2 linked regions of the Rattus norvegicus genome follow. The protein of the gene in region 2 purifies or fractionates together with the protein of the main gene of each other region. This does not show direct contact. Links are inferred from orthologs where the notes say so. Each region holds a gene or a part of one and is shown on either strand. Other genes may lie near its edges. The genes, in order: Vapa and Zfyve27.

The links.
Region 1: the proteins of Zfyve27 (region 2) and Vapa purify together in Homo sapiens (co-immunoprecipitation; 3 studies listed by BioGRID and IntAct, counting the BioPlex papers as one, with this or other methods). This does not show direct contact. The link is inferred for Rattus norvegicus from reciprocal best matches to the Homo sapiens genes ZFYVE27 and VAPA.

The regions. Positions count from the first base shown.
Region 1 is NC_086027.1:112,651,725-112,655,991, forward strand, and holds the start of Vapa (vesicle-associated membrane protein-associated protein A), read right to left. Parts: upstream 3,008-4,267; 5' UTR 2,777-3,007; coding exon 2,698-2,776; intron 2,499-2,697; exon of another isoform or gene 2,302-2,498; intron 120-2,301; exon of another isoform or gene 1-119. UniProt on the Homo sapiens protein: Endoplasmic reticulum (ER)-anchored protein that mediates the formation of contact sites between the ER and endosomes via interaction with FFAT motif-containing proteins such as STARD3 or WDR44.
Region 2 is NC_086019.1:250,927,465-250,931,953, reverse strand, and holds the start of Zfyve27 (protrudin), read right to left. Parts: upstream 2,824-4,489; 5' UTR 2,639-2,823; intron 1,924-2,638; 5' UTR 1,923-1,923; coding exon 1,726-1,922; intron 1-1,725. UniProt on the Homo sapiens protein: Key regulator of RAB11-dependent vesicular trafficking during neurite extension through polarized membrane transport. Promotes axonal elongation and contributes to the establishment of neuronal cell polarity.

The sequences.
Region 1 (4,267 bases), on a different chromosome or scaffold from region 2:
CACCTCAACACAAGGATTTCAGTCAGTTTTCCTCTTTCCCCTGACCATTATGAGCAAGCACACACTTAGAATTCTCTTTTTGCAAAACTTTCTTCTTCAAAGTTCAATACTGTCAACAGCTAGGAACAGTAAAATGCAACACAAAACAATAAACAAATTTTATAATATAGTAAATGTTAGGAACAAAAAAGTTTTTTCTGTGAAATATCCAATTTCAAATCTAAATTATTGGTTAAAGTATTGCTAGAATTTAAGCAACCAAAAATTTTCTTAATGAATCTTTTTATGCTCTAAAAGGTCTGCTTTAGAATTTATTCTACAATCAAGAGACTTATATATATATTACTAGTTATGAGAAGTAAACTACAAAGTTATAACACTTATCAAGTCATTATTCATATTAAAGAAAAACTGTCAATCTCAGAATGGCTGAGTCACTCCTGAAGAAACCACTGTTGAATCCAAATAATTCAAATAAACCTTGCACACAATCAAGTAATTTTGCAAAATGAAATGTATAAACAACCTATACTTAAATGAAAGACATGTAAAGATCAGTTAAATAATTTTTGATATGGTCAACCAAAAGATGCACAGTGGATTCTAAATCACCCTACTTAGTGTAAAGCTGTGCATTGAAATACAGAGGCTTCCACTGTACCAAGTTACCTCTGGCTGACAAAGTAACACTAAGGAGAAAAGCAGCAAACCTCACTTCAACCCTCTGCACCTCTCCCTATCATATCCATCTCTCCCACCTTTCCACAAGTCTGACCGACTGGAGTCTATGCATCTCATCTCACTCCGATTTACTCAACCACTCCCTTTGCATGACTTTCCCCAGGCAACTTCAAGAGCCTTTTCCTTGAGTTTCCTACAGAAAAGAGCTTCTTTCAGACGTGCTCCTGCCCCGGTATCATTTACATGCCTTTTCCACCAGCATTGGGATTTTTGGTAACACAGAGCCTGTTGCATAAACACGGTTGTAATTATTTAATATCAAAAATGAGTGATCTACATGAATACAGCACAATTTCTGGTGGTTTTTAAAACCTGCCTCATAAAATACCTTTCACACATGGCTATGCAGTAAGGAAAATTTGCTCTACACTGTCAAAAGGGGGAAAGCAAACCACACAGAATATCGTCAAGATTTATATTAAATCGCTCCCACTAATGATGGCTACTACAGTACAAATACTCTGAGGACTTCTCAGCAAACTCCGCCCAACTCCCCTCCAAAAAAACTTAAATCAAGCAACCAGAAATTTGCTGCAGCAAAATACACTCGAAATACCGGAGGGTGAGACACTGTCAAGTGTCTCACATGTAGTCCAGGTTTATTTCAAACTTTGGGTGGTTCCTGAACTTCCAAAATGCCGGGATTATAAGTGTGGTTCACGACCCAATTCCAAGCATATTAAAACTGCCTTAAAATCACAATCAAGTTCTTGTCTAGTACGGAGGAACTTGTGAATGTACTGAAACGCCTGCAGGGCATGCTACTAGCAGAATACCACATGTTTAAGTCCTAAACTATTTAAAATATAAAAGTCTTAAGTATCTGGAACTATTTTAAATTGTTCCTACAAGGACAATTCAGCTATTTTCATGTGGACTCACTTTTACACTACTATAATGGGTTTACTTTTTCTTTTCCTACTGGAATCGATATGCGCTTAAGGGAAATTGTTTTCACCAGTTGCTGAAATTAAAACGCAAGGTATTAACTTTCCAAAGGGGGAGGGGGGCACTTTTCATTTAAAGATAGGAAGCACGTGTTCTTTTTAGCTCCTTAAAATGCAGTAAACTGTTCTGTATAACTTTTCGTTTCCTACACACTGAGAAGGCAAACGGCCTCGGATCTGAACAAGGATCACCAAACCAGTGATTGTCTATCACAGTCAGTGCTCCAAAGTCAACAGTTCCAGAGCTGTGTGGCACCTTATCAGCTTTCTCCGGGTATGCTGGGAAACCGCAAACGTAAGAGGGTCACAGACCCTGAGTCGTCTTCAGTAAAAAGACAGTGTGAACTCAAGGACTAGGAGCACAAGGGCTGGGTCCTCCGTACCTAAGGACGAGTCGACGTGACCCAAGGGACCCACTCCCATTAACCTACGACCATGCATGCCCCAGCTGACGCACAGCTTTCTGCCGCGCGCTTGGGGCCGTGCCAACACTCGGGGTCAGTCCCAGCCAGACACTGCTGGGTCTCCCGGCTTGACAGAGTCCGGCACCTGACAGGGAAGACTCCGGGCGAAGCCCGCGGTCTTGAGCGCCTCGCCCGCGGGCCGTGCCTACCCAAAGGCGCGGAACGTCGCCCGCTGGCGCCCGCAGACCCCGGAGCTCTTGCTCCCAGCCTCCGGCTCGCACAGCCTGGACCGCGCCGCGGCCGCCCTGGGGCAAGGACGCCATGCGGGCGGGCGGGCAAGGCGCGGGCGGGCTCCCGCGGCGCCCCCGTGGGCCGCAAGATGGCGGCGGCTCCGGGCAGAGCCCTCCGCGGCGTCCGTCCGGCTCCCTCCCCTCCCCTCCGCAGCCCGGCCCGGCAGCGGCGGACGCCGAGGCGCCGAGCGGAGGGACGCAGCGGAGCCGCGGCTCCGACGTTCGGTCCGGGCGTGGGGGAGGGGAGCGCAGCCCGTCCACCCCGCCGCCGCCCGCCGGCCCCAGCCCCGCTCGGGCGCGTCCCAGCCAGCCTACCTTTGAATTTGAGGTCTGAAGGAGGGTCGAGGACCAGGATCTGCTCGTGCTTCGCCATGGCCCCGGAGGCGGACGCCATAGGAGACAGCGCAGAGCGGGGGCGCGCCCGCGGCGGCGGTTCGCTGGCGGGGGCGGGGGACGGTGGCGGCGCCGGCTCCGCGGAGCTCTAGGACGGGGCCAGGCTCACGATTCCCGAAGCTCCGCGCCTGCTGCCGGGCCGCGGGTCCCGAGGGCTGCCTGTCGGGTCAGCAGCTCCGGGTGTCACAACTGACTCAACCCCACACCAGTCGCCGCGGCCACGCGCACTGCGATCCTCGGCTCCCCACGTGACGGCCTTACGTGTCTCCGTGCGCGCCCCCGCGGCCCAGAGCCCTCGTGTTGGCCCCGCCCTCCGGGCCTAACTGGGCTCGGCGCTGAGCTAGTGCGCCTGCGCACCTCCGACTTGGCCGCAGCTCCCTGCGCCGCGCTGCTGTCAATCTCTGTAGAGCGTGCAGGGGGCGTAGTAGGGCTGTTTGTGGGAGACGGGGTGCGCGGCGCCGGGCGAGGGGCGTCGTTCTTGGCGCCCTGGAGCTGCGAATGCGGGGCTGTAGCGCCGACTACGATGCTACCTCACAGCGTTCCAAGTGGAATTCCGAACGGAAGACAGTCAAGAAGTGCCGGGTACCTCGACTCCCAGCATGCCCCGTGCGGGCGGCGTCTCCGCGGGGGCTGCTGGGAACCGGGAAGGCAACCCGGGTCCGTTGGAGGCGAGTGGGTGGGGCCGCTGACTCTGCTTTTGGCTCGCCGAGGTTGTCTCGTCTGCATTGGAAAAAGAAAAGGGTTTTTGCAGGCTGCCTGGGAGCCAGGCATCCCAGGAGAGACGGCCCTTTGGGAAAGCGGCAGGGCGTGTCCGTCTGGTCTGCCCGGGATTCCTTCCGCCCTCTGCGGACGCGCGCTCTGTTCTAACCCTGCCGTTCCAAAGCTGCCTCCCGGATCTCCCTCCTGCCCAGCAAAGGGAAACACACCTCGCGCAAAAGCAAACGGGTTCCAGGGGAAATCTAGGCCAGGCACAAATAATCAAGGGTAGAAACCAAATGTCTGCTCCTACGGCGTGGAATTCACGTGCTGTATCTACAGTGTGGCTCATTCCAAATCTGTTTGCCTGGTTCTCGTGCCGTGCTAGGGACGAATTTTATCTGCATCACTTAGGAGAGCCTATACCAAATGAGAAAAATTGCCAAGCAAATTGCTGACAGATATTCAGCTCATTGCCAGGGTATCCAGGGACGGGAAGAGCAAACAAAACAAATGGATGTGCTGTAAAAATAAACCTTTATTGTGTCCTATGGTACTGCTTGAATTTAAATCTCTAGGAAGCTCCGTGCGAAACAAAGCACGTATTGATGCTTCTGCCACGGAAAGGCATCCTAGACTGTCTGGAAAGTAAATGTCGAAAATGGGCAGTCTAGAATACAGCTAATTAAACTTTTTCAACTCTCCGTCCCGTCACCTGAGAAATTTTTATGCCACCCTGGGTATATAGGATATAAAATTGTGGTATAAAACATTGATCACAAAAAAAAGTTTGTTT
Region 2 (4,489 bases):
ATAGGATATAAAAACCACAAAAAATACAGTGCTGGATAGGAACCTGACAGGAGATGCAAAACAAGTGTCCGTGACATCCTTGGAAAAAATTGGAAAGTGGGAAATGACCAGAGAAAGATATCAAAGAATTACTTTTAACTAAGTATAACATGACTTTGATGATATCAAATGCCTTTATTAAAAAACATAAACTGGGGCTGGAGAGATGGCTCAGTGGTTAAGAGCACTGACTGCTCTTCCAGAGGTCCTGAGTTCAATTCCCAGTAACCACATGGTGGTTCATGACCATCTGTAATGAGATCTGATGCCCTCTTCTGATGTGTCTGAAGACAGCTACAGTGTATCCATATATATAAAATAAGTAAATACATTAAAAAAAATAAACTGAAGTAATCAGAAGTGCAAAGCCATTTATTTGCAATTAAAGCTATCTTTCTGTTCTGTTCTTTTTTGGGGAGAAGGGGGTGTTAAATAGCTCAGGCTGGCCCCAAACTTGCTACGGAGTGAAAGATGATTTTTGAACATCTGATCCTCCTGTCTCTACCTCCTAAATTCTGGGATTATAGGCATATTCTCAGATAAAATACTTTTTAACATAAATAAAGCCAGGAGATGAAGAGGTGATTCATTGGTTAAGACCCAGGTTCAGTTCCCAGCACCCCCACGGCAGGTCAAACCATATGTAACTCCAGTTCCAGGTGATCTGACAACCTCTCCTGGTCTCTGAGGACACCAAACAAACACATGGTACACAGAAATATATACAGATAATAAAGCCATACACGTAAAATCTAAAAACGTAGATAAATCACTTAAGGAAAATAATTTTTAATGTAAAAAACACAGGCTAGGCATGGTGGTGCCCTTAATCACAGCACAGCAGACAGTGGCAGTCAGACCTCTGTGTCTTCCAGGACAGCCAGGGATGCACAATGAGACCATGTTTCAGAAAACAAACAAACACCAAACATTTTTTTAAGCAAGTTGGTCCTGGTACTTGTGAGTCTGAAACAGAACATTTGTTGTAAGTCTTCAAGCAGCCTGAACTACGAGTTTCAGACTACCGTCAACAAAAGGAAAAGTTAAGGAGCCTAGAAGAAAATTACAGAGGATAAAATGAAGCAAAATAGGAAAAAATTTGAGAACCATAATCCTAAATAACAAATAAAAATGGCATCTAGTTTTTTCAAAGGTATTTGTAGTTGAGGTTTGTTTAAAATTATAACTTGACGGTGAGATAGCTTAGCCAGTAGAGTGCTTGCTGCCAAGCCTGAGTTTGATCCCTAGAATGCACCATGGAAGGAGAACCAACTCCCAAAAGCTGCCCTCTGACCTGCACGCAATGCCACATGCATACAAAATAATAAAACCAGGATTTTAAGATTAATTATGCTAATATTAGGAGAGAAGGGGGTGGGGGGACGGACCAGAGTCTGCTCTAAGCTATACCAGGCCAATGTCCAAGGCTTTCTGACAGTACCTAAGAGGAGCTTATCCAACCACAGAGTCCTGAGGAAGACCAAGTGGTTCCCAGATCCCACCTTTCCTGCACAGAGCTAGAACACAACTAGCTCTGAATAAGTCTAGAGGTCAGACAACTAGTCTCACCAGAACTAGTCATCACTGGAGCAGAAAGGACAGCCCGACTACTGCCAACTGGCCAGAACTGCTAAAGACCAGGGAGACAAGAGAGCCCAAAGGAAGAACAACCCCTGAAATCTGTACCTTAGCAAGTATCGAACACCGTCACCTGCATCCTTCAGGGGTTCCAGGTAGATCTCCAGCCTCTTGTAGGACAGAACCAGGTTGAAAAGATCAAACGCTGTTGACTTGGTAGGGGCAGGTGAACACTCAGAGAGAACCTCAGGCATCACGCTGGGGCTCGCCTCTGGTCCACTCAGGTCCCGATCCGAAGACTGCATTCTGTAATCGTAATTCCCCACACTCACAATGCATGTCCAGTCTTCAAACACATTTCCCCTTGCATCAACCATGTGAGGTAAGCACCAATACCCGTTTCACACGGAAAGAAACTTTGTTCCTTCTGAAGAACAGCAGAGTGAAGGGGATACCTTCGATATAAAGCCTGTTCTTCACGAGCCCCTCCAACGCTCTTTTCCCTCACAGACTTTTCAAGAGCATACAAGCCATTAATTGTTGAAGGGAGGTAATTGGTAATCCCAAGAGAAAAGATGTCCTGTGATATCTTTCTCCTCTCTTTTCCCCTACTCATCCTTCAGGTGTCAGGGTTAGGGGACCATCTTGCTCTGGGACGTCTTTATGAACGCGCTAGTGTACACTGGGTGACCCTTACCAGGGCTCCCAAAGGTTCATGAATTTTTCCTAACAACACTCTTGTCACGCTCTTAACCCTGGCTCCTTTCATCACTTGGAAAGGAGTCCACTGGACCCCAAACTCTCGATAGAACGTGCTAGGAAGAAAGCAAACCCGGGCTAGCGCGAGACAGGCTCAGCAGGTCAATGCGGACAGAGGCCTCGACCACCATCACCTCCCAGGCGGCGCAAGGCAGGCCACGCCTAAGATCGCTGTGCCAGCAGGTGGCGGTCCCCTCCCGACGGGAGCACCAGGCTCTGTAAATAAATACAGTGGGGCTGGGGCGTGATGGTCGTCACCTACCCGGACACTGTCCCAGGAATGGGAGGGGCAGGGGCGCCCAAGGGGACAGAAGGGCCACCAAGCCCGGGAGCGGCCCCTCAGGCCCGCCCCACCCCACGCCGCGCCACCTCCCACAGACGCTCCGAAATCGCAAGTCCACCAGAGAACAGTCTGCCCCACCACCGCCGTCGCTTCCGGGACGCGACTCACTCTGCGGTGGCGCGCCCGTGACGTCACCTCGCCCGTCCCGCCTTGGGTCGGGCCTCCGAGTTTAGCCCCTCCCACCCAAGCGCAGGTGATCGAGCTCGTCGATACTGCGCCTGCGCACTTTTCCCCTCTGTGGCTAATTTCTGGTTAACTCCGTCCCTGCCATACAAGAGATGACTCACTTTTAATGACCCGGAAACCTAGGACCTAATTCCTGGGAGCCAGCCTAGCTCCGGAACATTACAGCAAGGACAGTTACAGAGCCTAGCGTGGTGACGCACTTCTTGTAACCACAGCCTTTGAGTTTCTGAGGCTGGAGGCTAGTTCAAGGCCAGCCTTGGCTATGGGAGCTCCTGGCTCAAAAACAAAAACAAAAACAAAAAAGGGTAGGGGTGGGGGTGGAGAAGGATAAAAAAGAAAGAAAATCTGGATAAAAACTGGATAAAAATCTGGATAAAAAAGAGGCTAGGGAAGGCAGAAAACACATCTTGTATGTCAGGTGCCTAGCAGAGACAGACCGGTGGTTCCTTGGTTCCTAACTCTTCTTCACATCTTGTGACCCAGCTGGTGTCCCTTAAAACACACTTCCCATGGGTTTGCATTAACCAACAGCCAGGCAGTACAGTAAGCTTTGTGTTCACATTATCTCATCTGTTCCTCCTTCAATAACCAACCCTGTTGGGGTTATCACCATTTCACGGATGAGGAATTGTAGTCATGGTAAGTAACTTCTTTAATGTCACAGCACATAAACCTCTTGGAACTGGGATTTGAGCCAAATATATCACTGGATGCCAGTAACCCCAGCCATACCACCGCCCACATGAGTCTGCAACTACTGGCTTCATCTATCCTGCTGTTTGTTCTCTTTCAAGTGCCTCAGCCAACTGAACCCCGTTTTTACCTGCAACGGCCCTGGACTCCTGCCAACTCCTCAAATTGCTTGTCACACCTGCCTGCCCGGCTTCTTGCTTCCATCCAAAGGCAAGCAAACCAACTGTCTTAGCAGGACTCAGGTGTGAGCAGCCAGGGAAGGCCGCTCAACCGACAATAACCACTCCTCTGAACCACCCCAAAGCTTCCCTGACATCCGTCCAGCATCTCTTTTTCAGAGAAACAGGCACACCTGCTCTGCCAGTCAGGACTCAGCTGTACGGGGAATCTCAACTCTTCCCACTTCCTTAAGGCTGGTCATTGTCCCACAGGCTCTGAAATCTTTACTCTTTTTTTTTTTTTTTAATTTTTTAAGATTTATTTATTTGTAAGTACATTGTAGCTGTCTTCAGACCAGAAGAGGGCATCAGATCTCACTACAGATGGTTGTGAGCCACCATGTGGTTGCTGGGATTTGAACTCAGGACCTCTGGAAGAGCAGTCAGTGCTCTTAACCACTGAGCCATCTCTCCAGCCCTGAAATCTTTGCTCTTAGTAACGCTTCTTCTCCTAGAGACAAGATCCACAGGGAAAAAAAATTTTAAAGACTTATTTATTATAGATGAGTACACTGTAGCTGCCTTCAGACATGCCAGAAGAGGGCATCAGATCCCATTACAGATGGTTGTGAGCCACCATGTGGTTGCTGGGATTTGAACTCAGGACCTCTGGAAGAGCAGTCAGTGCTCTTAACTGATGAGCCATCTCTCCAGCCCCACAGGAAAAATTTTA